Oreochromis niloticus: one gene and its partners. The protein of the gene in region 4 binds, or shares a complex with, the protein of the main gene of each other region. Links are inferred from orthologs where the notes say so. Each region holds a gene or a part of one and is shown on either strand. Other genes may lie near its edges. The genes, in order: polr2k, taf1a, rrn3 and ubtf.

Evidence for each region.
Region 1: ubtf (region 4) and polr2k share a complex: the UniProt entries of both Homo sapiens proteins name them as parts of the pol I pre-initiation complex. The link is inferred for Oreochromis niloticus from reciprocal best matches to the Homo sapiens genes UBTF and POLR2K.
Region 2: ubtf (region 4) and taf1a share a complex: the UniProt entries of both Homo sapiens proteins name them as parts of the pol I pre-initiation complex. The link is inferred for Oreochromis niloticus from reciprocal best matches to the Homo sapiens genes UBTF and TAF1A.
Region 3: ubtf (region 4) and rrn3 share a complex: the UniProt entries of both Homo sapiens proteins name them as parts of the pol I pre-initiation complex. The link is inferred for Oreochromis niloticus from reciprocal best matches to the Homo sapiens genes UBTF and RRN3.

What each region holds. Positions count from the first base shown.
Region 1 is NC_031985.2:19,959,517-19,966,750, forward strand, and holds polr2k (DNA-directed RNA polymerases I, II, and III subunit RPABC4), read right to left. Parts: upstream 2,523-7,234; 5' UTR 2,410-2,522; intron 2,210-2,409; 5' UTR 2,202-2,209; coding exon 2,141-2,201; intron 878-2,140; coding exon 785-877; intron 609-784; coding exon 586-608; 3' UTR 507-585; downstream 1-506. Other genes in the region: stk3 (serine/threonine-protein kinase 3), read left to right, coding at 2,865-2,887, 5,195-5,275, 5,401-5,529, 5,966-6,080, 6,400-6,564, 6,708-6,875, 6,972-7,109. UniProt on the Homo sapiens protein: DNA-dependent RNA polymerase catalyzes the transcription of DNA into RNA using the four ribonucleoside triphosphates as substrates.
Region 2 is NC_031980.2:14,112,307-14,120,281, reverse strand, and holds the start of taf1a (TATA box-binding protein-associated factor RNA polymerase I subunit A), read left to right. Parts: upstream 1-4,973; 5' UTR 4,974-5,197; exon of another isoform or gene 5,198-5,206; intron 5,207-7,975. Other genes in the region: mia3 (transport and Golgi organization protein 1 homolog), read right to left, coding at 194-279, 620-687, 795-830, 937-1,099, 1,296-1,434, 1,532-1,622, 1,720-1,784, 1,898-1,985 and 8 more. UniProt on the Homo sapiens protein: Component of the transcription factor SL1/TIF-IB complex, which is involved in the assembly of the PIC (pre-initiation complex) during RNA polymerase I-dependent transcription.
Region 3 is NC_031969.2:6,416,656-6,423,794, reverse strand, and holds the start of rrn3 (RNA polymerase I-specific transcription initiation factor RRN3), read right to left. Parts: upstream 3,011-7,139; 5' UTR 2,787-3,010; coding exon 2,691-2,786; intron 2,448-2,690; coding exon 2,391-2,447; intron 2,318-2,390; coding exon 2,228-2,317; intron 183-2,227; coding exon 53-182; intron 1-52. UniProt on the Homo sapiens protein: Required for efficient transcription initiation by RNA polymerase I (Pol I). Required for the formation of the competent pre-initiation complex (PIC).
Region 4 is NC_031969.2:28,404,045-28,411,524, reverse strand, and holds the start of ubtf (nucleolar transcription factor 1), read left to right. Parts: upstream 1-4,468; 5' UTR 4,469-4,841; intron 4,842-6,607; 5' UTR 6,608-6,629; coding exon 6,630-6,666; intron 6,667-7,018; coding exon 7,019-7,191; intron 7,192-7,285; coding exon 7,286-7,369; intron 7,370-7,469; coding exon 7,470-7,480. Other genes in the region: slc4a1a (solute carrier family 4 member 1a (Diego blood group)), read left to right, coding at 273-439, 539-780, 861-1,030, 1,469-1,642, 1,734-1,778. UniProt on the Homo sapiens protein: Recognizes the ribosomal RNA gene promoter and activates transcription mediated by RNA polymerase I (Pol I) through cooperative interactions with the transcription factor SL1/TIF-IB complex.

The DNA of each region.
Region 1 (7,234 bases), on a different chromosome or scaffold from region 4:
ATTTTCTCTTTTTGGGAGATGGCTGTGGGAAAATCCTCGTAGATCAGCCAGTCTGGTACCAACAATTATCCCACAGTCAAAGTCATTAAAATCACCTTTGGGGGTGAGGGGAAGAAAACATCGAAGTGTCATTTAATCTTTATTACTATGAAAAAGGCCCCAAACCAGTTTGCATTACACAAAATCAGGTTACTTCCCCCTGCTGCATTTTATTATTCTGAAAGGCAGACTTCATTTCAGGGGTCGAAAAGCTGCAAACATCTCATAGCAACAGACCAATTACACGTGACTACATGAATATAGAAAAGTCTACAAGAGCTGAAACACATATTTTCCTGTCGTCATGGAGATGCTACCAATTAAATCGGCTCATCAGTTAGAAAAACTGGAAAAACAGTCACGACCAATTAAAATACTTATTTTTTAATAAACCAAAACAAACTTTCATACATCTTTGACAAGCAAATGTATTGTTTAGACGGAGAATAAAATGAGTAGTTCACAAATCTGAAGCCAGGTCTATTTATTTACATGATCCCACACTACAAACAGTAAACAGAGTCAAAACTGCTCCTCTCCTCTTCTTCATCGGGCATCGAATACAACCACTGAAATCAGAGAGTCAAGGAAATCCACAGCAAACGTAGCAACCAAAAAATATCAATCAAAAACAAAATATCTGAACACTCTTTAGCATAAAGATTCATGTCTGAAATTAACTGTCAGTTGGTCATTTTTAATGTTTTCACAAGTTGTCTTCATGCACACAATGTCAAAAGGATACATCTCTTTGTTCTCTTCTTGTACATGATCCTGTAGCCACACTCTCTGCATCTGATCGGATCGCGGGCTTTGATTTCGTTCTCGGTGTGACATTCTGCAAGTGATGAGAGAAATCATGGTGTTATGTGTTCAAGTGCAGTTTGAGCAGAGCAGAGCAGCGGGCAGCACATAGTTTTTCTGCTGATGTTAATGACAGAGAAGGTTTGGACCTCTGCAGCTACTGAGTCAGCAGAGTGTTGGTAACTTTTTTTCACTTAGCGCACGCCTCTGAATTCAAAGAGGTGTGGCCCAATATTTTAGTCCATAATGTGTAAGGTGTATTCATTTCAGTTCATTCAGATTGTTACTGAGTTTTTACACTTGCCACAAAACTTGTTAGTACTAAAATCAGGGTGGTTCCTTTTCCAGATGCAAGATGACCAACATTACGTAATCATGGTGAAATATGTGTTATTGGTTCCAAAATAGTAACAATGTATCAGACTGTGAAGGAGGTTTAACATTTCCCACTGTAAACATTTAGTGAGCCTAATGTGTATGTTATGTCATCCAGAGGTCTCCACCAAGGTGGATTAAGTAGTAAAAACACTATTCAAACACAAGAACATCATGTAACTCTCAGTTAGTACTTGTGTTTTGCACCTGGAAGCACAAATACCCACAAGGTAAAAAAAAAAAAAAAAAAAAAATCATACATACATACAGAACAATAAAATTATCTTATTCCAAGCTAACTATGATTAAAACAGAGATTAGAAAAGGGGTAGGGGTCATGAGGCTATAAAGGCACCTGAGATGTAATTTCAGTGAATGGAAATCCCACACATGCCAGGTATCACAGCTTTGAATGCACAGACCGGTTTACAATAGGCAGACCTTGTGCTCCAAGTGTTATTTAGTACTAATACTGAACTCATATTTATAATTATAGACGGTAGTTATGCGAATTTTCTATAATGTACATTTTCATGTGTTAGGCAAAACAGGACATGATATAGTGTGATAGATGGTTTTCTCTAAAAACTAGTGCTGTAATACCTGAAAAAATACACTCTCAGTTATCTCTGAAGCATTAATTACGGATTAATCCTTAATTTATTAATGTCGGACAGGCTAGTTTTAGAATCTAAATTTAGCTGTAGTTTATTATTTGTTAACTTATTATGAGAGAATTGTTACTACGACGGAACACAATATGAACAATATTTAAGGTCTCTGCGGTGTAATGTAAAAAAAAAAAACATCCAGAGGAGAAGCAGCCGTGATGGCAGTGATGAAAGGTTTGCATTAGAGCAGGTAAGATCGTACTGTTTGCATTACCCGCGGGTGTATTATTAAAGTAAAAGTTGTAATATACCTCCACATATGTAGATCATAGGCTGCTGCTTGGGCGGCTGTAGATCTTTCTGCGTATCCATTTCTGATTCTTAACAAAAAAATAGAGACAGAGATATAACTGTTAACAACATGCTAACAGAAACAGCATGGTATTGCCCGAAACAGACTAAAACAACCCATATGGTATTTAGAGCAAACAACAAATATCTTTAAAGTATCTAAAAACGCTGCATAAACCTAACAGATATGAAGTACACAGGATGGAAAGACAACAACAAGGTTTCTCACCGTTTAAACACGATAGCTGCTAGCTGTTTACCTCTCTTTTCATACTCCACAAGGCTCCTGCCTGCACATGCGTAGAACAGTCGTTCACCTCACAGCAAAGTCGCTTGTGATTGGTCGGACGATGTCTTTGAATGAGACCAGGAAAGCATAGTTGTATTTTGTGGACAGCTCTATTATCAGTAACATTTTATTCACAAGTCTCAGTTGTTTAATAGATACAAATTATTCGCTGTTTCTAAGGAGAGTATTTTTTAGCCGTTTTGTTTGTACTCCGCTCCAGCAGGGGGCGCTGCGGTGAGGCCGTAACACCGTCATCCGACGAGCCCTCAGCTGGCGCTGCTTTAGTTTTTGACAACAACGACTCAGTCGACAATGTTCTCGCCCTGACTGCTGGTCCCAAAAGTGCCACGAGTCCCTATTAGTCTGTTTTCTTTTTAGTTTTGAAGTCGTACATCATGGAGACGTCTGCGCCCAAAAGGTTTGTGTTATTTTAACTGCGCTAAAAATGCTATTATTATCGAGCTAGCCGAACAGCTAACGTAGGCGGTGGATGTCGCCGAGCTCGCTGATGCTAAGCTAACTTAGCGTTGACAGTCTTCTCTCAAACTTTCAGTTCTGTTCACGGATGTACAGATCGTTCCTCACACAGAGACGCTCTTTCTTGAGCCCTCAATTGAGTTTCTAATAGATTTGGCTAATGATGTGGTCGTTTTGTGTTCCCAAGTTTCTGTAAGAGTGTTTTGTTCAGTGGTTTGATTTGCACTTTAAATATCATTCAGTCGCATGTTAACTGAATCAGCCTCTAGTTTCCCGAGTGTCCTCCAAAAAATGAATTGCATTGTTTCTGTGTATCTTTTTATGTCTAATATTGTTGAAAGTATTTGTAAACAGGCTTTAGTTATTAGGATTTATGAAGGGGTTTTTATATATATGTGTATATATATATAATAAAGACGTGATCTCTCTTTATGGGTCTGCGTTATTGTTATTGACTTTCTTAGCCACTTAAAATGTCCTTGTAAAAGTTAAAGGTCCTCCATGTTTTGGCTTGCCTGTTTGCGCAATCTCTATTGGAAAAAAGACGTTTTGAATGTCAATAACACTTTTTATCCAAATAAATAAAAGATATATAAAAGTCACTTTGCCAAAAACTAAATGCAGCTTCTACTGCTTGCTCAAAGTGACTTGAAATCATTCATAAGAGAGAGGTATGTTTGATAGGTCATAGGCATTCATTTAGAACTGTTTAAATACCGGACACGGTATTTTTTGGCACAACTCCTGAAGACAAACCAGTATTACACGTTACTGATTACTTAGTTGGTTTCTGTGCTGTGGTGGTTCACGAGTTCACAGGCTCAAAAAAAAGACAACGCAAGTTAATTTTACCGAAGAGCTTTTTAACCACAAGGCGACAGATCTGAAGTCTTTGTATGATTGCTGTACTATTTTTAAACTATGAGATCACACATGTTCATCTTGAGATGAGAAATATTTATTTATTCCATATATGAGCACCCCTTTTATTACAACACTATAAAGGATGATGAAATAATAATAATAATAAAGTAATATTATTAAACATTTAGGTTGACAGAATTTGGTAGGAAAGATTTTTAGAATAGTAAAATATTTTAAAAAATGAATAATAACAAAATCAAAAGAAATTAGAACTGCTTTGGAAATCATTGACAAAAATAAAATTGCGTAATATAAAGACAAAATAAATATAGAGTAAAAATTGCTTAAAAGTTTACTATAACATTAATAAATATACAATGAAATTAAAGAATGAGTCTCCAAAAATAAATATTTGAACAAAATAAGTGATGATGATAATAATAATCATCATCATCATCATAAATATAATAATAGATATTGAAGTAAATTACCAAAAACATATAATTATAAAACACTATGTGAAATTCAGACTGAATAAGTTTTTTATTTTGGATTCAAGGAAAAACAGCAATATTTTCAGCTCTTCTCACAGTCAGTGAAAGGCTTCTCTGAAAGACTTTGAGGACACAATACTTAAACGTTTCTGTTCTGCTTAGTGGAAATTAACAGGAACAGCAGGATGTGAGGGCCTTTCCAGCTTCATATAGCACAAGCTTTTCTAAGAGGTAGTATTGAAATACCCTTATAATGGGGAAAAAAACACACAATCTGTTTGTGTCTTTGTCAGAGCTCATGTAGGATCATTTTTAAATGATTGAATCTTTTGATTCATTGTGTTTGATTTATTCACTAGAGCCAGACTGAGGAACCTTATTGAAGCTTGCGTCACTAAGTGTTGCTCAGGGAGAAACGACCTCCTTTAGTCTTGTATTGCACGTGATAATATTTTTGATCAAGTCAGAAAATAGTGAACAGTGCATGTTGGGTTGTGCTTTCACTTTCACAATAACATTTTTTGTCGATCACATTGAACTTAACTGGCTAAAATGACATTCCTGCTCTGAGTAAAATAATGACTTATTCCTGTTGTTTGGCTGCGGTGCTGATTTTTATCTGTGAAGAAGTATTACCTCATATTGTGGTGTTTGAAAGCACCGATGCACAAACCTAAAAATATCTTTAAATTACAACAAACGGAAATTATAACAAGTTGCAGTCCCAGTGTGTTTGACATTTATGTCCAGACTAAAAATCACCCACAGCCGTTCATTTATTTACAAATGCTGAAACAATGCCGTGTCTCCTGTTTTGTAATGTTTAGATTTGCCTTTTCCACTTATCATTGCTTTCACTTTTATATTCCTGTCTTATTCACTTTTTACAGTAAGCTGAAAAAGCTGAGTGAAGATAGTTTGACGAAACAGCCAGAGGAAGTGTTTGATGTTCTCGAGAAACTCGGTGAAGGGTAAGAAGTCTTAACTTCCATTTTTACAGCTGACCATTGCGTAATGAATCTCTTTTTAAGTGCTGTCAGTTGTAATAAAGCACTGCGGCCGTACATGTGACTTTAAGCTTTGTGTGTGTTTCTAGTTCCTATGGCAGCGTGTTTAAAGCCATTCATAAGGAGTCCGGCCAGGTGGTGGCCATCAAGCAGGTGCCTGTGGAGTCCGATCTGCAGGAAATCATCAAGGAGATCTCCATCATGCAGCAGTGTGACAGGTGGGACAGCAGTATGTCTTTAACCATACCGCCAGTTTTCCCCTTAAAAGCAGAGTTTTTCCTCAATATGAAAAATGTGGCGTCCAGTAAACAGTTTTGAGAGAAAATCATTGTTTATTTGCAGGCTCAGAATACATTTTTTGTTTATCAGCTGCCCCAAATAACAGGGAAGTGCACAGTTGTTCTGTTTAATTAGATAAGAGCCTCTTAGTGTTAACTGTACGCAGACCAGTTGCACTTAGCTTCCTCTCAAAGGTCCATTCTGAGCCAGGAAAACCCTCAAAAGACATTTTACAGAGATAATAATGGAGGAAGTATGACATCATCATCATAGCCTATGTAGCTCTCTCGTGTCTGGATCCATGAGATTTTTTTTCTCACTTCTGCTCTGTATCTTCTCCTTTGATAACCACTCCATGTTGCATTTCCTCCCCAGCCCCTATGTGGTGAAATACTATGGCAGCTACTTCAAGAACACAGACCTGTGGATTGTGATGGAGTACTGCGGCGCTGGCTCTGTCTCTGACATCATCAGACTGCGCAACAAGACGGTGGGTGTCTACGCTGAGCCGCAGCGACGTGTGTAACTGTGCTAAAACTTAATTTAAAAGTGCCTTTGACCTGTTGTCAGTAATGACTGCAATGGCGGCTTTAATTCACTAGTTTTTGTGTCAGGAAGAAAAATATTTTTGATAAAGTTTCAATTCAAAGTGCAGTATTTATTGCGACTTAAAAGTGAAAAGATCTCCAGGTTGAACTTGTCTTTAACTGAACTCAGCAAACTAATGATTATAAAAAAAAAACTACAGACAAGTGCAGCAGTTAATGCTCTGTTTTTTCATGTTTGTTTTTTACTCTTCAATCTCTCAGCTGACAGAAGATGAGATCGCAACCATCCTTAAGTCGACGCTGAAGGGACTCGAGTATCTTCACTTCATGAGGAAGATCCATCGGGACATCAAAGCAGGAAACATCCTTCTGAACACAGAGGGACACGCCAAACTGGCAGACTTTGGGGTTGCTGGACAGCTGACGGTAAAATTGCGGCATATGTCAGTAGTGATAAGATGAAGTAATGTCTGCCAGCATGATACTGTTTGTAATTTGCTTCTGAGGAGTTCTCGCTTGGTCCTGTCATGCTCTAAAAGTCTGGGGTAATATATATTCCCACTCTGTAGGACACCATGGCGAAGAGAAACACTGTGATCGGTACTCCGTTCTGGATGGCACCCGAGGTAATTCAGGAGATCGGCTACAACTGTGTAGCTGACATCTGGTCCTTGGGCATCACATCCATAGAGATGGCAGAGGGTAAACCTCCTTATGCAGACATCCATCCAATGAGAGTGAGTAGAAACATTTCTTCTTGTTTTAAATGTGTTGTGAAAAACATTTTTCCTCTTTTTTTAATCCACCCTAATCCTGTTATCGTGTTCCTGCAGGCAATCTTTATGATCCCGACCAACCCTCCTCCAACATTCAGGAAGCCGGAGCTCTGGTCAGACGAGTTTACAGACTTTGTCAAGAAGTGTTTAGTGAAGAACCCGGAGCAGAGAGCGACGGCCACACAGCTACTACAGGTAAGAAGATGACCTCACCACCACATACATGGATTACTACTATTATTATGTTATTTGAACAGGGAAGGAAACTAAGAGCAACTTGGTGTCCTTCCCTGTTCAAATAACTGATACAAAATGAAAGC
Region 2 (7,975 bases), on a different chromosome or scaffold from region 4:
GCAATAAAGAGGTCCTGCAAGAAAAATCAAGCACATGAACAGGACAAATACACAATCACAACACATATGAGGCAAAACTGGAGGCAAAACTGGAGTCCCCCACCAAACAGAAAACAGTATCATCTTCAGTGGTTCTTCAGGATGACAGCTGAGCTGATGGAAATAAAATAGAGGGTGAGATGTGCCTGCTTACCTTGGCGAGGGCCTGCAGGCTGACCAGAGTTTGGTCTGAAGAGAGGAGCGCGGCGCTCATTGAGCTGAGAGGTGAGTACAGCCAATCTGTGAATAGGAAGAAAAACAGCTCAGATGCAGTTAAACTGGGCTGTGACTAACGGTAATTTTAATTATCTGATGAAAATGTAACAGAGCAAGTGGTGACGTCATTAAATAATTTCACAGTTTGTCCAAAAGAAACAAAACAATCAATAGCCTCCAAGCTATTCAGCCTGAAGTCACATTAAGCAGTAATAGGAACAGCTATGATGTGCGGTAACCACTGTTTAGTGGTTTTTTCAGGCTTTCGCAACTTCCTGTATAGAAACAGCCTCATTATGAGTAACAAACAACATTTCTGATATTCCACAACAACAAGGAAGCTTTAACAACTGCCAAAACTCACTTTTCACGAAGCTTCGATGATTCGAGCTTCTCTTGGTTTAGAGCTCGCTCTGCATTACGAGCATTCACCTGCAGGCAGCGCAAAGAAGCAGAGTAACGCTTTAGCTCAATATTAATCTTACACAGACTGAATAAATTATTTATAGAAACTGTAAATAAACGGTGTAGAAACATACCCAGTTTGAGTGAGTTTTGTTCTCCTGCTCTTTGATCTAAAGAAAGAAAATCACATTCAGCCGAGATTCAGATTGGAGTAATGTTTTTATTTTGTTGGCTAATTTGTAAACGTTAAGATAAAAAAACAAACACACAGTCTACCTGCTCTTTGTAGACTTCCTCAGTCTTCTTCATCTGGTCCTCCATCTCATTAATGCGCTGCCTTAAGATTTTAACCTGCTCCTCAGCTTCAACAGCTTTCCCTCCAACCTCCGACAGCAGATTCTCTTTGCTGCGCCGCTCCAGCTCCTCCTTCGTTAATTTCCTGTGTGCGCACAGAAACATAGTGACTCCCAGTCCTCCCACAAATCATGACTGATGAGAGGTTTCACTTACTCATCATCATCATCATTCATGGTGTAAAGACAGCAAGTAAAATTTACAACTACAAAAATACAGACGACTTTCAGACATTCAGGACAGGAAGTAACAATTTCTAATCTGCTGAAGACTTCACTTACTGCTGCAGAGCATTTTCCTTCTGCTGATACATTTCGACCATGATTTCGTTTTTCTGCTGGAGGATCTTGAACTGGTTTTCAATGTGGCTCTTCTCACTTTTCAGAGTTGAGATTGCATGTTCAAGCTCCTGGTGTTGCTCTGTTTTAAAATAAAACAAAAAGGAGTTTAGTGGGATGCAGATACCCATTTTCAACTGAATTACACAACTTCTTAATTAATCTAATTCAAAATGTACCTTCCATTGCCTTCCTGGACTTTTCTTCATTCAGTAGTTTTGTCATGAAGCGATCCCGCTCTTCTTCAACTACAGCAAGAGTGGTCTGAACCTGTAGAGAAAAATACAAGAAAATGCACTAACATTTTGAAACCGAACAATCCTCTATAAACTAAATATAAGCTTTACAACATCTGTTGATATCTCACCCTAGAAACATCCATCATCTGTTTGATTCTGTTCTTTATGGTCGTCTTCTTGTCTGTAAGAGACACTGAAAGAACAACAAAACACTATATTATTAAACAGTGGTTAATGAAACAACTTGTCGTATTTCATCCACACATTTACGATATCCCTTAATATTTTGATAAACTACAAACTTACCAGGTGCTACTTCACCATTGGCCAAAACTTTGGTGTCACCTTTTTGTAAATCACAAGCTTCCAGGTCAGACAGAAGTTCAGACAGCACCTGAAGTAGACATATTGTGCAAGAGTGAGACGATTTAATACAGATTTAATAAATAAATAAATAATAACAAATAAATAAATAATAACAAAAATCAGGAAGAGCTATGACAGTAGTTAGTGAAAAAAATGACCTCCACATTGTGATCTTTGAGCACCACAGAGTCCTCCAGTTCTTTCTGGGACTTCTGATAGACTTTAATCTTCTCATTAAGCTCTGTGTGTTTTTCCTCCCAGCTTTTAATGGTGGCCTTCAGCTGTTAGAAAAGACAGGGCATAAATTAAATCTGATGAAATATTCAGATTTATGACAAGAGAAAAAGAGAAATAAAAGAAGAGAAATATCCATATCTGTCTTACTGTTTTGTTCTCGCCCTTTAAGGCAGCAAACTCTTTCTCAAGACATTTTTGTTGAACGTTTCGGGCATCTTCGCGAATCTTGGCTTCATCCAGGAGAACAGTAGTCTATGGATGAAAGAAAACAGTTTATAAGATAAATTAAAGCTAAAAGGTCAAAGTAACACTACAGAGTTTGCAAAAAAAAAAAACAAATCCCAAAAGGATTTGTACCTTAGAGAGCGCTTCCTGCATTTTTTTCCTGTTAGCTTGTAGCTTCTCGTTTAACTTCTCTAATTTCTCAATCTGTTAAAATAAAAATAATAATAATGATAATAATTGCAGCATGAATCAGCGAAAAGAATGCAAATAACAACGAGCAGAAAGCAAAATTAAACACTTACTCTTGTTTCATTTTGGAGAGTGTTTGCCCGCTCTTCCTCCAGTAGCTGTGCGTATTTGTCCTTTTCCTCTGCCATCTGTTTATTCAATGTTTCAGCCTGTAAGACTTTACTCTGCAAACAGTAACGAAAAAAAATTAACGACAACCCTTCACCAAATAACTGAGTGTCAACAAAGATTTAACCCAGTTACGTAAGACTAAATACATATGAGAAAGACTCTTACTGCTTACCTCTAGCTCTTGCATCTTTTTCACTGCACAACTAACAGTTTCCTTTGACTGTTTTTGATTTTCTTTCAGTTGTTCAGTCTTTTACAAAAAGAAGAAAACATGAATCAGATGTGTTTTGTTTGTTTTTGTCCAGGAGAAACTCAGCAACATTTCTCTTTATGGGGCTCACCTGTTTCTGGAGTTCAGCCATTTTGGCAAGAGCTTCATCCTTTTCCTTTTTGTGCACCTGGATTTGCTCTCTGAGTGTTTTTTCATCCACTTTTCCAATAACACAAAGCACACAATCAATGAGGCCGTACACATATACATTTTGTCATGTTGTGCAAAAATTATAACTGAAAACTTACCGAGGTACTCTTTCTTCTTTATCTTTAAAAAATGAAAATTAAAAAAATCAATTTTGAATCTTACAGTGTATAATATCATCCAACAATGACCTAAACAGAAAAGATTTTATACTGTATATAACTCAATCCAATGGGAGTATAACCCAGGGGGATACAAAGCCTTATTAAATCAAAGCTCATACAAATAATATTGGCATTTTACTGGCGCCAAATAAACAGAGCAGCAATATCACAACACTTACTGCCAGCACAGTCCTCCAGAAGAAAAGGGTGAAGGTCACTACTCCAACCAAAGCAGTGATGACAACAGTTTGCCAAGGACAGCCAAACAAAGTTTCTCCTGGCTTCCACTCTTCAGGCAGCAATGAAATCATCTGAAGAGACAAAAAAACCCACAACCACAGCTTTAACTCCGGAGAATGAAATTAAACTGGAAACAGATGGTTAAAATAGCACTATGCAATTAAATTATATCGATTTCTAGTTACAAACACAGCTTTCAACAGTGGTGAAAAGAAGATTGAAAATTATTTTCATAGTGATGCTCTTATTTTGTCTTGTGTTATAACTTGATTGCACTTTTCCGTATCTCTAAAAATTCAAACAGCCTGCGGTAGATTTACTTCAGCTCTAGCCAAGATGATTATAAGAGATGTTTGTCAACAAGGAAGGAAGAGCTGAACAGTTAATCACAGAAAAAAACAATAGTGTCATGCTCTCCTATACAATCATTTTCTCATTTTGCCTATCGCAACATCACCTTTTCCTCTCAGTAAAAGCCTAAGTTCAGGCTATGGCATGAATACTTTGGTTTACAAAAATGTTTTTTTATTTAGCTCAAATACACTTAATTAAAAAGAGACAACAGAGTTACCATGTTTCAAAATGTATCAAAAATAATTATGACTATAATTCTGGCTGTAAAATAAATAAACAAAAAAGCCCAATGGAAAAAGAAACAATACAATATACAATAAAAACACTGCAGAAGCTCTGATTAAACATCAAATTAAATCTACCATTAGACTAAGACACTGTGCATACATTTACCAAACTATGACACTTCACTAAAGAGTCATCTGTAACTCAAATAAGCACTCATTACAACCAAGATTAGCAAGAGTAACAAGAAGAGCATCTCTGTCCCACAACGAATCTTAAGGCTGAAAGGCTACTGCAGCAGCAGAGGTGCCACTCTTGTAAGCTAGAACAGGAAATTAAGGATATGACTGACATGGGCTGACCAGGATTGGACAACAGAACACTGGAAAACATTGCCAAGCCCCCAAGTATTTATCTAATAAAGTGTCCGGTGAGTGTATGTGATAAAGGACACAGGATTGATATAAAAAAAACACAAAAAGATTCGTCTACACTCTCAGTTTAGTCACCAAAATAATTCTGTTGGTTATTTATTAACATAAAAAAATAACATGTTTTCTACATTGTTCTATACATACATTTTGAAGTGATGTATGAAGCATTTAATACATTACTTGATTAGGGAGCAATTCATACTATAAGCTTTTCTCTTTCACAAGCTAGGTGGGTTTCACTTTATAGTTAAACTAGCTTCATTTATGCCCAGTCATACCAAACCGAGCGTATTAGTCCAATCACAAAGAAACCTTTGAACTCCCCATGAGGCAACAGTAGCAAACATATACACGCTCTCACTCCGTGGCTCTAATAAAATACAGGGATTACAGCTGCCTTAATACTAATGGCAAATATTAAAAGCCTCTCTTCAATTTACTACTTTTCAATTCTAAATGTTCAATACAAATTTAACAAAGGCTGGGCTGTAAGAACAGTTAGATAGCAACGAAAAGGGCACAGGACAGTGAAAGGTCTTCAATCAAATATACAAGACCCGGTCGACTGCTGCTAATGCTAAAGGCAAGTTTGGTGAGTAGATTTAGGACCAGGAACCGTCCAAGTCATTATCCATCAGCCACCTGCTAATTAACACGTCATGGTTAAGGCCATGACAGCGTAAATAATAATATTCATATGTGTGTCCGTCTGGCTTTTTTTTTTTTTTTTTAATACTGTAATGAATACTTACATGTTGCAGTCCCTTCACAAAAACCACATATGTGTGCTCCGGTTCCATGACAGGCAGGGATAATGTCTCCCTCTCCATTCTCGTGTTTAAAAACAAGAACGGAACTAGCCAGATGCTAGTTTGACAGGTATCAGCTAGCTGCCTAGCACGTTAGCTATCCACAAAGTAACTGTATTGTTAGGCAAAGGCTCGGTATCCAGGAGCGTTAATGTCTCCCGCGTACGAAAGACAAATAAGCGGTCGTTAGACAAATGGACAACGTAAAATAGTAGAGATAGGAGTTGGTAACAACGACTTGCTAACGGTAATTACAGATCACCCGTCAAATCCCATTCACAGCTGTTATCGTGAAGCAACGGTCGTTAGCAGAGTTGGTGGTTCTGATTATGGATAACGACTGTAGCGACCAAAAAAGGCTACACTAACTCAACAACACATTATCTGCCTGTACATGCCACAATAAGGCCGTTAGCCACAGCAGCCAGCTCAGCACCGGCTGTGTTGAACTTCAGCCTATACCGCGACAGTCAACAAGGCAGGGGGAGGGCCGGAGGGGGCATTCAGGGAAAACTGGAAATTTGAGTTCTCACATAATGCACCACACTTCCAGAGCAAGACCGACGTCTGTTACATGTAGGGCGACCAGGTGTACCCACACGATTTTAATCCTCTGTCCCACATTTTGGCTGGCTCAACAAAAGTCTCTAAAGTCATGCAAGTCTCCCGAGTCTCCAGCTCCTCAAAAACTATATATGGGGAAAAGAGTTTATTCATGCAGAAAAATGTGGGGTAGTGGAATGCAACATTGCAATTTCTGGTATCTATTCAAAATTATATACAGTATAAAGTATACTATTATATAAAGTATATACAGACCCAGCTTTGCCTGTGTAAACACTTTTAAGAGCCGCATGTAATGATTTATGAGGTGAATGCATCATCAATATCTGATGCTTAATCTGAATCCGTTTTTATGACAACTAAATTATGTGATTTTTGCATTAATTGGTTAACAAATCACAAGCACCTTTGACTATTTTTTCCCACGTTTTTTCTTTTTTTTGAAGCGCTGGAATTTAAATGTGCCCTCTGGGCAACCACTTTATGTCAACCCCTGTTATTTTAAATGTGCTTAATAAATAAAAATGACTTGATAGTGAACCAAAAAGGGTTCTTATACTATACTTAAATTACTTAAATATTTTCATGTTCAGGATATATATTTTTTCAGTTCCAGTAAAATTTAACACTGAAGTAAGTGTTAAATTGAGTGACATGAGAACAAATTATGGCAGAACAGGAAGAAGGAAGTTGAGCGAAGTGTGGACAGGGCTGTGGGGATGTTTGAACAGACATGCTTACTGTTTGATGTAACTGAAGCGACATACTGATCTCAGACGAGATAAACTAAAGGATCAATCCTATCACACAAGTATTGATCAGATAATAGTACCAACGCTGGTATCTATATAATCAATATTTAGATCGATCCATCCCCTCCTATTTTCAGAGCAGCAAGACAAGTGTCTGCCCCAAATATTGCGACAATGCCCTACATTTTGACTGGCTCTACAAAAGTCCTCGCCAGTGATTCTCATATAGGGCAATCACAGGCCAATAAAACACATGTGAGGCAAAGATTTTGCTGGTGTAGTACAATGTGGGGTAAAGTACTAAAGCCTATTAATACATCTTTTCAGTTATACAAATGATGCATACTAACTTGACTGTGTTTTACTTGAAAGTAATTTGTCCACAAAACAGTGGATCATCTGCCTCCATTTCACCCTATTCCTTGCATTCTCCTCTGTCACACCAACCCTCTGATATCCTGCTGAGCATCTTGGTCACTTCCAATAAAATCTGAGCATCTTTAACTTTGTCATCTCCAGCTGAGGCTCCTATCTTTTTATTAGTGATGAGCATAAATGGAAACTAAAGTTTATAATTGGTCCTATGGAACAGTTTTCTGTACACGCTTCTAACAGCTGTCATTCCAGCCTTTCTGTCTGCTAATCATCTTTGGGTTTTAGCAGGGATGCATCCAAGTTCTTTTTGAGTTGTTTTGTTCTGACACAAATCCATTTTTGTAAATTAGAGTCATTTAAAATGTGGGACACTGTCTCGATATAAAAATGCTGTACAGTCTCACACTCCTGATGACACTAGACTCACAAGAAACATTTGGGTTTAAAAATTGATGGGCTGAACTATGAATGCTTCCCTGCTGAAAGTACTTTCATGCTTTCAGCTGTTCGCTTATTTCCCAAGAGGTTGCCACACAGGAGGGAACCACATGTTGATTTGTTACAGATACTACACCGGATGCCCTTCCCACTAGCTTGTGACCCCTGAGGCTGGCTTTGTGTCTCCTCCCAGTCTTGAACCAGTGATCTTATGAACCATTTGCTCTATGAATGCCTCCCTACTAAAACCCCAAAATTATTACCACAGAGATAAGAGGTGGAAATTTTAACAGTTACAGTGATGCAAACAGGAAATGCAAGACTGCACAAAGACTGCCACATAGGACCATAAACAAACTTCAATTTCTCTTTATGTCTATTCTATAGACATCGAGTTTAACTAAATTACAGTAAATCAAAGTT
Region 3 (7,139 bases), about 22 Mb from region 4:
TGTAACACGTGTATGAATCATGATTACTTCAGTACCAGTCAGAGTAACATACTGGGGGTGAAGTGGGAGACCACCATGTTAAGGCAGGCACACAAGTAGACAGTCTGTGCCGACACCAGGTTACCCAGAAAGGCCAGGTACTCGTCCACCACAGCCTGGCTCCGGCCCAGCCAAGGAAGCCTCTATAAAACAAACACACACACACACACACACACACACACACACACACACACACAGTGTAATGTCTTCCAGCATATAAACACAATCAGCTTTTTGGACGTCTGCTGATTCACACCACATGAAGACACCTAAGGCCAAATAATCCACTGCTAGAGTTAGAAAGTACTTTATCTTCGACCGTATCAGTGGACTGAACGGTTTAAAATGTGTAACAAAATAACAGAATAGATGACACATTCTCAACAGTATATCATACTGACAAAAGTTTGTTTGTCCATGTTAAATCAACCACGGCTTTTCCCGTGAATTTTTTTTTTTTCATTTTATATTTGACTCTAATATTGGTCCTGATTCAAACTTGAACGCTGGTGTGGGGAATCAGTGATCAAGGGTTATTGTCTGGTTACTACAGGAGCAGAAGGCTAAACGGGTGTGGATTAAACTAAGAACAACGAGTCAGCGTTCTGGATGTGCGGTTCTCTCTGCAGGTCTGATCACAATAATACTTTCCCTGTCAACTGTAGAGGCGACTGTTGTTGCGATTTGGTGCAATATAAAGAAAATTGAATTTCATATTGGAATGAGGTCATTACAAATTTGGTGAAGGCATACATGTTCTATATCTTGTATATCTACCCTCTTTTTTCTTGGCTCAATTTAATTTCTTTGTTTTATTAATACATACTAGTTTAAGATGTTGCTTTAAAAAGCAAATGACCTCTCACCCACACTGAGGAACAGGGCTAGGTTATAAGTTATATTAGTTTTATAACAATATTTCAAAGAAATATGCGATAATATTCATGACAATATAATAAAAATATACTAATCAAGGTATTATCAGTGTAGCTTGCAATAGGCATTTATTTATTAGAGAAAACAAAATAAAAGGCATTTCCATCCTCTTTTTTTTTGAATGAGTCTATAATGACAGACTGCCTCATTCAAAGTTTGAATTTACTGCCACAAGAGGCCAGCAACAGCATTACAGTATGTTATTTACAGTCAATGCAAGTCAATCAAATACAAGAACAAAACCTGCCTAGGTCCTGTTTTTAGGCTATAATAGTGCTGTGAAAAAGTATTTGCCAAATTCCTGATGACTTTTTTTTTTTTTAACATTTACATGTTTAAGATCAAACAAATTCATTTTTTCTCTCAGTTGTGGGGTAGTTTGGGTGGGTTGCGAGGCAGCAGGTCCTACACAGGCCAGTTTGTCTTGCACTCGCTTTTTTTGTCTGTTGCTGATGGAGTGGATGGCTGGTGTGACGGCTCAGTGTGCAGATGGGCCCCAGACCCGAGGACTACAGTTCATCCTGTGTTTGATTCTATATGTTTTTCTGTCAGGTGACATTTGTTCTGTAACTGTGGTGATTAGTGTGAGCAGTAAGTTAACTTGGGGTTTGCCCTGCGCACTCACATGAGAGGGGTGGTGTTGGCAGTATCTAACTAAACTATAATGGGCATTTCACATGTCATGTGAAAATCCCACAATAAAGAGAAAATTCATGACAGCTCCAACAGAAACATTATCAAATAAATTTAAAAATCTATAGAACATAAAAATATACTGGTAAAATGCAACATGTGATCAGTGCTGCAGAAACTGGTTAATCTGGTCATTTAGTGCACTGCCTGCACTCAGTGCTGCTGTTTAGGTCTAAAGTAACAGCTGCATATTAAAAGCTCTGAAACTTTAAAATGGATCCTTTTAAAAATTAAAGCTTATGCCTCTTTTCCACTCGTACCTACTCTGCTCGGTTTTGGTGATTTTACAATATAACTGAGTACCACCTCAATGTTCGTGGGGTCGTTATAGCAACACCCAAAAGTCCCATGAGCTCATTTAAACGCTACACAACAATGGCGGACACCGAGGCAACGGTACATCTGCTGCTAAGCCGTCTGCTTGCCATGCTGACAGGCTAATCAGCAGCATGCAGTTTGTTGATGTGATGTTTGTTTTAGATCGACTCAGATCACTTGGACCCCCGGTGGAGTAAATATAGTACTCTTCTCCTTGCATCATGTTAATATTTACACTCACCAGTATAGTATAAATGAGCTGTTCATGATCCTTGGTCAGGTGGGTCACACAAGTCCGAAATTCTTGCAGCCAGTTGATGATCTGAGCATCCTGTCGGAGGAGAGGGCGTTCACTGAGAAGCAAAGTCCACCACACCACAGGGTGCCCTCACACTAATGCTTACCTTTATCTCAGGATCAACCAGCTGATGTTTCAGGAGTTCATAATCACTCGAGTCTCCCTTAAAAAACAAGGAGAAACAGCTCACCAAAAAAGCAGTTCACCAAAAGCGTAGGAAACATAGAGGTGTTTGTAAACAACTTTACGAAGGTCAGCAGAATCCACAGACAGGCCAGCAGGTGGGTCTAGATTCATTTAATAACTTAGTGGACCATCTCGTAGATGTGTCACCAGAATCAACAACCCTAAATAAATATCTCTCTTTATCATTTTCCAAGAATGACAACCCTAAGATATAACTCACGTGTTTGTGTTTCTCTAACGTCTCCGCAACACTACCTCCAAATCTGACCGTCTTCACAGAAGGGGTCTTCAGAAAGTCTCGACCGTCTATTTCCATAACCCACCGGGCAGCTAACGCTGGTCTTTGCTTGTTAAGCTGAAAGACAGAGCTGGAAAGGAGACTCGCTCGTTACATCTCTCACACCGTACAGCTCTCGATACTGTGGCGTTAACTAGTTTGATCAAAGGAAACACGCTTCCGGAAAACAAACTCCAGGACGTCCCGTCCAAAACCACGCGAAAGTAACAGGAAGAGAACTGCGTGTTTACGGAAGTGATTGTTCGGAGCAGGAGTGTCACATTAAAGGAGAACGTTCAAGGAATCCATTTCGCTCAGGAAGGTTCCTACCTGAGTGAAGTAACTTTATTGAGCTTATGTACAAACAAACACAGGCTGTGAGTCAAGGCTCACACCGTAACAATAACACAGGCTGAACAAATACAACAAACGAACAAACAAAAAGAATAAATGTAGCTTTTATAAAGCAACAAAAAAGGAAAGAAAAGCAGAGTAAACAGATTAAGATAAGATAAGATAGCCTTTATTAGTCCCACACGTGGGAAATTTGTTTTGTCACAGCAGGAAGTGGACAGTGCAAAAGTTATGAAGCAAAAATTAGAATACAATAAGAATAAATACAGTACACAACTGTACTGTACAGAATAGAATAAAATCAAAGTTGGATCAAAGATAACACATTTTTAACTCACTATCACAGAGCATGCAGCCATTTACATCAATTTTTATCAACTCAGCCTGATGAAATTATTATCATTGGATAAATTTCATGTATCCAACTAATTATATGCACCACTGACAAAGAAGCACATATCATGTAAATGATCATTATAATACTTCCGTTATACTTAGGTGTACTCTGTTAGTTTACTTAGTTCATAGTTGATAGCCCGTATTATATTAGTATGAATCTTAAAGACCTCATACTACTCTATATTACCCCAATAGAGCACTCGCTCTCACACTGCAGGCTTACTTGTGATTCCGCTCCCAGTTTGGATTCGTCATACAACAGTATTTTTTCTAACACTTTAAACAATATCTTACTGTTCAAATAAGAATTTTTTTTTTTAAATAGAACTAGAACAAAAAATAAAATCATTAAAAGCTGCCTAATGATTGCTTTGCCTCACCACAAGAACACATTATTAACAACCCAAGAAAGCTAAAACTAGAATTACATTAAGTAATTACCAAGAAAACGCAATTTCTGATGCAAAGGCTGTGTTTGGCGTGCTTTAAACAAGGCAATAAATCTGGAAAATTCTTTGCAAAGTTAAAACTAAATAAAGAAATAAACAACTATTAATTCTATAAAGGATTTGACCAGAAGCATTACTTATGATCCTCAACAAATAAAGAAACCTTTGAAAGACTTTTATATAGCTTCATACTCATCACAGTGTCATCTCCAGTGACATCTGATGCTGTCAGATTTGGGACTCATCTGCAAGACCACCCTTTGTGGTGGGGGCAGTCTTATATATACCCCCCTCCCCCCCACACACTCCCTCATACAACACATCACTCACACACGTAGGATCTACGTGTGTGAGTCATTACAGTTCACTGTCCTCCCCTCAGCCTCAGGTCTTCAGCTGGAGAGGAAATGGCGTGTCACAAATTTAGAGGATCATCATTTAGCCTGGAGAAATAGTTTGCTGCTTTATAAGAAAGCCCTCCGCAAAGCCAGAACATCTTACTATTCGTCACTGATTGAAGAAAATAAGAACAACCCCAGGTTTCTCTTCAGCACTGTAGCCAGGCTGACAAACAGTCAGAGCTCTACTGAGCCAACCATCCCTTTAACGTTAACTAGTAATGACTTCATGAACTTCTTCACAAATAAAATTTTAATCATTAGAGAAAAAATTACCAATAATCATCCCACAGATGTAATATTATCTACAGCTACTCTTAGTACCATTGATGTTAAGTTAGACTCTTTTTCTCCAATTGATCTTTCTGAGTTAACTTCAATAATTACTTCCTCCAAACCATCAACGTGTCTTTTAGACCCCATTCCTACAAAACTGCTCAAAGAAGTCCTGCCATTAATTAATTCTTCAATCTTAAATATGATCAACCTATCTCTAATAATCAGCTATGTACCACAGGCCTTCAAGCTGGCAGTAGTTAAACCTCTCCTGACTCTCCATTTACATGAACAAATTGGAGTCTATTAGATAGATATGATACAAACCACTGCAGCACAGTACCTGTAGTACCTACAGCGTGCTCTAATCACTCTAATAGGATATTATGGTCAACAGTATCGAACGCTGCACTGAGGTCTAGCAGGACAAGCATAGAGATGAGTCCACTGTTGAAGCTTGAAGGCCTGTGGTACATAGCCAATTATTAGAGATTGAAGCATAAATGCAGACACCATTTTATTTAGACAGAGATGGTTGTAAGTAACCCAGAACAGTTGGAACACCTGTAGGAATTAGTAGCACCAGCTTTCAAGACTTGAACCGCCGTTGCTGCAGAACAGCTTTAAATCGTTAACTCATTTTGTGTTCCCTGAAAAAGGCCTTTTTGTATAATTTTTGGGTAACCATTCTTTTTTTAAAACCTCTGTCAGTTCACCACTTACCTTTGTACCATTTCAAGCTATCCATTGAACTTCAACGACTTAAATTGCAATAAATAACTGGAAAAACTGGGGTGTTCTAAAACTTTTAACTGGTAGTGTGTGTATATGAATATATGAATGTGACAGGTGAGACCTGAGACTGGGAACCGCCCTTTGTAGGTGGGGCTGGGTGGTTGATTGGTGGCAATATTCACTTTCTTTGGGTGCCAGCTCATGGAGGAATCAGTGGAAATGATTGGCGGCGGTTGAGCACGACTGTTCCATGAGTGGGTCAGCTGTGTGCAGCTGGGAAGACTATGTTGATTTAGACGAAGAAGAGGAAATGCCTCTGGAGCAAATGCAAAGTGAGCAGAGGAGGGGAAAGCGTAAAAGAGGTGGGAGCAGTAGTGGTAGGGATGATTCTTTAGAAGCTAGAGAGAAAATGTTTGCTGTTCTGAGATTTACCGAAAGAACACAAGTCAATATTAAAAAACTGAGTCAGTTCGTGTTGACAGCTGAACTTAACAGTAAAGTGGGAGATCTAGTTTCTGCTAAGGTACTGTCAGATGGAAATCTTCTTGTGCAATGTGTAAATGAAGAGCAGTTCAACAAGGCTTTGAACTTAAAGCAGTTGGGGAAGTTTAAAGTGGAAAATGTTGGGCATGTGGGTGCACAGACAGGAGGTGGATGCAAGGGGGTAATTTCTGGGGTCCCCATTAGTGTGAAAATGGATGATCTGAAAAGAAAAAATCAAAGGAGGAAATGTGATTTCTGTGGGCAGGTTGAAAGCAACAAAAGAAGGAATTAAGGTAGATAGTGAAAGTATCCTGAGACACTTTGAAGAAGGAAATCTGCCAAGGAAAGTGTTTTTGGGTTTCATCAGTTATCCAGAATGAGCCTACGTTCCAAAACCTCTGAGGTGCTTTAACTGTCAAAGGTTTGGACACCTAGCGAAAAACTGTAAGGAAAAGAGGAGATGTGCTCTGTGTGGTGGAGATCACGAATATGGGAAATGTGGAGATGGAGTTCAACCAAAGTGTTGTAGTTGTGGTGGGAGTCACAGTGTTGCGTATGCTGGATGTGAGAGAATGAAACAAGAAAATCATATTCAAAAAGTGAGGGTGGAGAAGAAGATCTCCTATGCTGAAGCAGTGAGGGTGATGAGAGTGAGTGAACAGGTCAACGTCAACCCAGGACAGGGTACATCTCGGGGTCAAGGAGTTCCCCAGATCAACACGAATGGTATGGTTATTGATAAGATGGCGTTGGTTACATTCATTGCAGGAGTGATAAACACCACAGCTGATGTGAAATCTAAGCAGGAGAAAATTCAGCTTATTGTTAAGCCAGGGCGATTAAACACTTGGGTTTAGTAGGACTGACATGGGAAGAAGTGAGGGACAACCTCAATTATCAGTCAAGTCAGGAAGCATGATATTATTTTATGTACTCATGGTACTTATCCTTTAATGGAATGCAAGGAGTCTGTTGGCCAATGGCCAAGAGTTGAAGCATTTCATCAAACTACTTAATGTTAAACCGGATGTTATTTCTGTCCAGGAATCTTGGCTTAAATCTTCTTTGGATTTTGTGTTGTATGGGTACAAGATAATACGAAATGACAGCGACCGTGGTGGAGGGGGAGGATGTGCAACATTTGTCAAACAAGACATTCCATACAGACTCCTGGGTAAAGGCCATGATTTGGAGTATATTGCTATTCAGGTTTGGGACAGGAATAAACCAAATGTTATTGTGAATTTCTACAATCCTTGCGCCAGATTGGAGCTGCCGCGTCTTCGTTCAATTGAAGG
Region 4 (7,480 bases):
AATTAGATGGAAATGTGCCTTTCTTGAGATCAGTTAGAGCTGTGTCTACATTCAAAGACACCTCAAAACCCTTTCTAATCTCACATGTTTAGCATTCTTAAACTTATCTTTTTTAAACTAACCCATAGAGAGAAAGCAAGATAACTTGCCCCCTCTACGTCTGTCCCATTAGCACGCAATCCAACCAGTTCTCAAAATGTATGATGTAAGGCCAAATAATCTACCTTTAACTATGTCTTTCTAATCAGCATTATCACTCTGTCTTCTCATAGAAACTGGTTGTGCCAAAAGGTATTGAAGTGACTAACCCCGATGCGAGGGGATGGTTTATCAACCCCATGGGAGAAAAGAAACCTTTCCCCGGCTGGATGATAGGTGCCAGCTGTATACCTGCAGTGCTTGTCTTCATCCTCATCTTCCTTGAGTCCCAAATTACTACGTCAGTGACACTTTAAACGATAACAGTATCAGTTTGTGTGAATTTAACTACTTAAATATTTAAGAAATCTCTGTTTTCAATGTTCTCTGTGAATCCCAGGCTGATTGTGAGCAAACCGGAAAGGAAAATGGTAAAAGGGTCGGGTTTCCACTGGGACCTTCTCGTCCTGGTCACCATGGGCGGAATCGCGTCTATCTTTGGAGTCCCTTGGCTGAGTGCTGCCACTGTGCGATCTGTCACCCACGCCAATGCTCTCACTGTCATGTCCAAGGGCCCCAAACCAGAGATTGAGAAAGTGATTGAGCAGAGGGTCAGCGGCATGATTGTGGCCATCATGATTGGTAGGTGCTGCCATCTACAGCAATGATGCAGGCACAGCAGAGTCAGAGTAAATAACCATTTTGCTCATGCCAATTTTCAGGAGTTTCTATTTACATGGAGCCTATTCTGAAGATGATTCCAATGACTGCCTTGTTTGGCATCTTCCTCTATATGGGTATCACTTCTCTAAATGGAATCCAGATGTGGGACAGGATCCTTCTGCTCATTACTCCCAAGAAATACCATCCCCCTGATGCCTATGCCACCAGGGTATCTATTCAGCACAATACAGTTTATTTTACACTTATCAGCTAATCACAGTTAATTTGTATGCAGTACACCTTCATGTTTCGAAGCTAACTCACTGTGTTAGACAGTTTTCCTCAGAGCACAAAAAATATTTAGTATTGTTTACAATTTTTAATCTATTTGCTATTTTTTCCATGTCTTTGTAGCTTTGTGCCTCACATTTGTGTCTTCTGTTGTATATCTTTGTGATCATTTTTTTTTTACCTTGCTTTCATTTTTACTCACTTTCCCAGACCTGCTAACAGTACTTTCAAAAACAGCCAATGGTTCACAGCTCCTTGCATTAGATTATGTATTCCATCCTGCTTTTTCTTATATATCCAAGTCTAGTGGTGTAATAATTACCATATAAATTGTTAATTAGTGCATTTCTCACTCTTATTTTTGTCATTTGTACAGGTGAGTACCCTGCGAATGCATCTGTTCACTCTGATCCAGCTCGTGTGCCTGGGTGTACTTTGGGCAGTGAAGATGAGCACCTTCTCTCTGGCTCTGCCTTTTGTTCTCATTCTGACCGTTCCTCTGCGCATGTTCATGACTGGCAGGCTCTTCTCTGCCATGGAAATGAAATGTGTAAGTGCTTACCTATATTTTTCAAATTTACCTCTTCGTGTCATTTCATATGTAAATTTCCTTGTTGTAACCTGATCTGCATGTGTTGCAGCTGGACGCTGATGACGCCAAGGTGACATTTGAGGAGGATGAGTAGGATGGATCTATACTGCCATAAACATCACCATACCGTTCATATTCACATTTTATTTAGTGATGCCACTTCTTTGTATATTTAAACTGTTCCATTACTATTTGTCTTTAAAGGGCATTACCTGACATTTATTAATATATGACTTCTGCATCTAAATTTGGGTTTGCAACCACAACAGACAACCAAAATGTATTGAATTTCATCATCGAGACCTATCAGGTATTACTAATTAATATTTTGAGATTTTAGGATTTCAAAAATGTTTTTTAAGGTATAAGTGGCTGTTTATGTACTTAGATACAGAGTGGCATTTTCTCTCAGGGAAAAATGAATGAATGGATTTTGAAAATAAGAGATATTTTCCCCTTGTGATGTTAGATAGATCCATTTATATATAATAGTTTTATTTTCTTTTAGTGCTCAATTACAGCATGGCTTTAATATTACAACAATGCAGTTAAATTTTAGTTCTGCCCATGTTACAATAATTTAATTTCATCTTACTTTAAGCTAAGGAAATCTGATGTCAGCTCTTCAGATGCGCACAAAATAATGAATTTTGTGAGACTATAATGTGCCTTTTGTCCATAGTTTATCAGATTATTCAGAAAAGTGTGAAGTTGTTTCTGAAGTTTTCCCATTTACTTTGTGTATTGTTTATGCAACAGTTTAGACTTTTTTTGTTCAGTTGGCCTATATAGAATATAAATGCACTGCTTGTGTGTAAGTGTTTGTGATTTTAAATGAGGTGTGCAGTGCAGGTAGATAGTTGATGCTGAGATCTTATTGTTTGAATTGATTGTTATACTGATGACATAATCAGGTAAAACTCTGTATACATTTTCCTTGTGCATTTTATGTTGCCCATCACATTTGTGTGCAAAACACTGTACATGCTTTGGATTTAATTTTATTAAAAAATAAAGACAACCTTAAAACGCATGTTTTCATGAACGCATTAAGTAACACAATATGTCACATCACATGTCAACATTTTGTCATTATTTTTACCCTGCAAGAAAGAGGAGAGGGCGTGAAGAGCATGTCTGCCAGTCAGCTTCATGCTGCCTTCAATGATGTCAGGAAACTTCAAAGTCCTGCTGCTCTGGAAGACAAGGGGGGCCTATTCTTACTTATTCTTAGCCTACACTATGATAATAACACAGGGGGAATCATTAAACAGAATACTGTTTTCTTTCTCAGACTAGTAAAACATGTTTAGCTGAATGACATGTCACATAATACATAGATACACAACATACAAAACCGTGAAGTTGTAAAATACACCCTTTGTTATGTATTTTTTATTTCATGATGTCACTTTTTAATAATGTTTCTAATATTCAATCAAGACAAACATAGTTGGACCGGCTGATTTTCCTATCCCTTAAATAGCGCAACTGCTTTGAGGCAAACTGAACTGCGACACAAATAGTTAAAGTTCTTTGGGGAAAATGATCACGGCAGGAAAGGGGTAAATTGCTTGTTCCGAGTCTTTAATTTTAAAAACAGACATTGCACGCTGCTAAGTCCCCTGCCTCTTTACAATGAGTTTTGTTTGTTTGTTTTCTATAGGTAATGTGACATTTCGTGAAGTTAAGATAAGCTCTATATGACTTATTCGTTCAAGCATGTCTTCATTTGTCTCTACTCGTTTCGCATGCAAAGATACCCGTTTTTCCTACACCATGGGAACGCAACACGGTTTAACAAGGCCGAGGGCCTGAAAGTCATTTGTTTTCCCTGAATCGGACTGCTTGGATTGGATGGCCGGGGGTTCCGCCCACAAACACACAAGGTGGAGTTGAAAAGCAAAACATGCTGGACCAAAATGAAGCTGTCAAACAGCCGCTTACAATATACAAAAAAGAGGTTAGGAGCAGCGAGAAACAGCGCGGTTTTTGTGTTATAGACCATTTTATTATTTATATTTTAAGTGGAAATCTGGCGTTTTTAAGTAAAATTTGTAAAGTTTCGGTTTTAAGTTGATATTAAAAAAAAATCTGATGGAAGAGCGTGAGGTGATTGAGTTGTATAAATTTTACAATCACCTGTAAAATGTTGGTTTTCATTGCACTCTCGGTCACCCGATAAAGTATTCGGTGGGTTCAAACTTCGGCTGCAGATGTGACGGGGTCGGCCTGCGGGAGTAAAAATAATCGCCCTCGGTTGTATTCAAACTGAGAGATCGGAAAAAATGTGGAGGTCTCGGGGTAGCGAAATGGTTGGATGGAGAGAGAAGAGCTGCTGCGCGCTGAGTGGAGGGAGACGGCGAGTGAGATGGAGGCGGGGGGGAAGGACCATCTCTGCGGGGACTGGAGCCCAGGACCGACGGCGCAGTGCTGGCTATCGTTCAACCCTCCCCTTCTTCCTCCACAGCGACACCGAGGCTCACGCTGAGAGACAGGTAAGCCAACACAACAGCCGATCGGTTTCAATATACAATGCGCGTACGTGATAAACAAACCGCGAAAAAGCCATCAAAACGCGATAAATATACATTTAATGCATGTTTTTGTTTTCTCGTAAAGCGCCTCGGTCGGCAGCTTCTTTGTAGTAGCGAAATAAACCGACGGTGGTAGGGTACAGACGAGGGCGGCCATACCCGAATTTCTTGTCCCAAACAGCGGGGAAGGAACTGGATGTAAGACCCTGGGGTAAACGTGATAAATTTCTTTTCAAAATAACACGAAAAAAGACTCTTTTGAGCTAACCCCTTCATCGAAACTCGCCTGCTTCTGCTGTACGGGGAGTATTTGCGTAGGAGAATAAACGGTGGTTTCCGCGCCGAGACCTCCATGCGGCTGTTGACGGAACAGCCAGCCGCCTCTCTCGGTTAGCCATCAGGGATCTCAGTTTAATATCTCACCGTGCAGAGACTCGCCCTCTCTCTCCCCCTCTCTCTCACTGGCTAGCCCAGAACCTCCGACGACCGAGCTCGGAGAACCCGCCTTCTTGCCCTCGCTTAAACGGTTTTGGATCGAGGGAAGGGAGTCTGCGACGCCCTGGCTTTAGTTTTAAGCTCCGTTTCTCTGTGTTTGCAGTGCGCCATTGGACCTTGTCACGGTAGGTTTCCTTGTAGAGCAGAGCTGAAGCATGGCGGACCTGGAGCTGTTTGTCGCGCCAGAGAAGCTACTCAGCCGCGGTTTGTTAACATGTTTCCTCGGAGCTTTAGCTAACCATTTTAGATGCCGTTTAATGCTACAATACTGCAACCGGAACTGTAAGCAACGGTTAAAGCTGATTTCTGGTTTTACAACAACAAAAAAATTTAGTTCGATGCTATAACATTTGGCCGTTAAAAAACATTTTCCATTTTCTTCTTTCTTCCTGCGCCTCCGCAAGTCTTTCCAGCCAGCCACCACGATATTTACGGGCATTTTTACAATTTGTTACTAATCCCTGTCCGCTGTCCACCATTTGAATTAGCTGTTTTTTATTAAACGCAGCTAAATAAAAACCGTTACGTGATTTAAATGATTGGTTGTAAACAACAGCTAATGTTAATGTGGTCCAGGTCTACTCTGCAGGACACGAAATTGTTCTTAGATGCCAAAAAGCCTAAAGCCTTGTATTAAATAACCTTTTAAAAGGCATAGCTAATAATATTTAAAAGAAAATGTCCCAATTTTAGCCGCATTCGGTGTGTCAAATCGTCCTTGCTCGTGTAATGCCTCAACACTCCAATTTATATCACCCATATTGTCATAATAATGAAATTTAAGGTACATTTTGTGTTTCAAGAGTTTCTTATATACAATGTGGCGGTTATTTAGTTACATAAATGGTGAAATCGATCGTTTAAATGTAGCTAGGTCACACGGTGGACACCACATTGAGCTGGGGCCATCAAGGACAAGATGAACAACGAGCAGCCGCCATCATTGGAACACAGTTCGGTTACGCCTCGCTGAAGAATGCTCTGGATTTTGCTAGCAAATCCCACTCTGAAACGCCTGAAACGTGAATAAAAACGGCCTGCAGATAACCTTTAAACACATTTATTTACTGTAAACGAGTGTTATTTTTGATTTCATCGCTCCGGTCTCAGTTAACACTACGAGGAGAAGATTATAGGTTTTGCGTGGCGGAGCTAGATCAGCGCCCAACGGTGATGAGGCGCCTCTGTCGAGTGGCGCATTTGGCTGCAGTGCTTCCAAGCTACCATTCCCCTTTCTCGGAGACCGAAAGCAGATCCCTCGTCCGTGGTCAGCTGGTCGCCTACAGCTGCCCGTCCGTCCACGTCCATTCGCTTCCTCCTTCCGTGGATCCTCCCCAACCTCAGCTCCGACAGAAAATCCTCCATTACTGAGCGGACCAGGCGAGAAAATGGTCGCTCCTGTGTGTCCACGATACTTTTGTTGTGGAATAAGGACAGTACTAATACGCCAAATTCCGGTTGGCAAAATTTGCTCGACGGAGACTCCTGTTGTCGTAGCTAGATGTGCTAGTTGAAGCCCTCCGCAGTGTTATTTGAGATTTGAAGCCGTCACAAGCAATAGCCTATGTCTCACCATGTAGCGTAAACGTTTAAGGGGCGGTGTAATGAACATAAACCATTATGTCGAGCCAAATTTAAATTTAACGACTTTGACTCGTTTATTACTTTTATATGAAGAATTAGCCACTTTAATTGGTAATTAAGCCCTTTTATACAAATAAGACAAAATAACATTAATTACTATTTTTAAAGATCTCGAGCCTTACTGGTTAAAGGTAATAAACACGAATATGTATATTATAAACTGCTGATTGGTTCTTGATTGAAGTCGATATATAAAAGATATGCTTTTAAATAATCTTATGGGGGTGTTTTTTGTTTTTTTTCGCAGATCCAAGACAGAATATCCGCAAATGAATGGAGAAATGGAGGCAACGACACAAGACCAAGGTGGGTTTTTTGCAAAAGTTTTTCTGAACAGAGTTGATATGTAGATTAATCATGGCAAAGCAGCACTTTACATAACCTTGTATATTAAGACCTTAGTATTAAACTTGATTAATGTACTAGTTCTTGTAAGAATTACAGCAATTAAAACTGTTTGATTCAAATTAGATTAGAATATATGATTTACCAACTTAAAGCCAATAAACGAATAGAATAGTAATTTTATTGTTATTTTTTTCTTGGCAGAATACACAAAAGGATGTATGATTTGAAAGATATTTTGGGTGGATCTGTTTTTTTCCTTTGTGATTTTTATGTGTCTTTTTTCTCTCTCTCTCTTTTAACATTTTCACAGTATGGGCGCAGGATGACCTTTTAAGACTGCTGGAGGCCATGAAAGTGGCTCTTCCACAGAAAGACCTGACTAAATACAAAACATCAGAGTCCCACCTGGACTGGCAGAAAGTTGCTTTCAATTCCTACACAGCTGAGATGTGCAAGCAGAAATGGCAGGAGGTCTCGAAAGAGGTGAGTTGATTTGTATCGATTTTTCTCCAAGTCAGATTTTTCTGTTAAGTCAAGTCTCCTGAGTTTCTCTGTTTTGTTTTTCTGCCAAACCCAGATTCGTAAATTCAGGACCCTGACAGAATTGATAGTTGATGCTCAAGACTACATAAAGAACCCATACAAGGGCAAAAAAATAAAGGTGAGTTCAAGTCAACATTCACATAATTTACGGCCAACAGTTGTGCTAATGGATTTCCAGGCTTAAGTAATTCCGCCCCCTTTCCCTCCCACAAATACAGAAACACCCAGA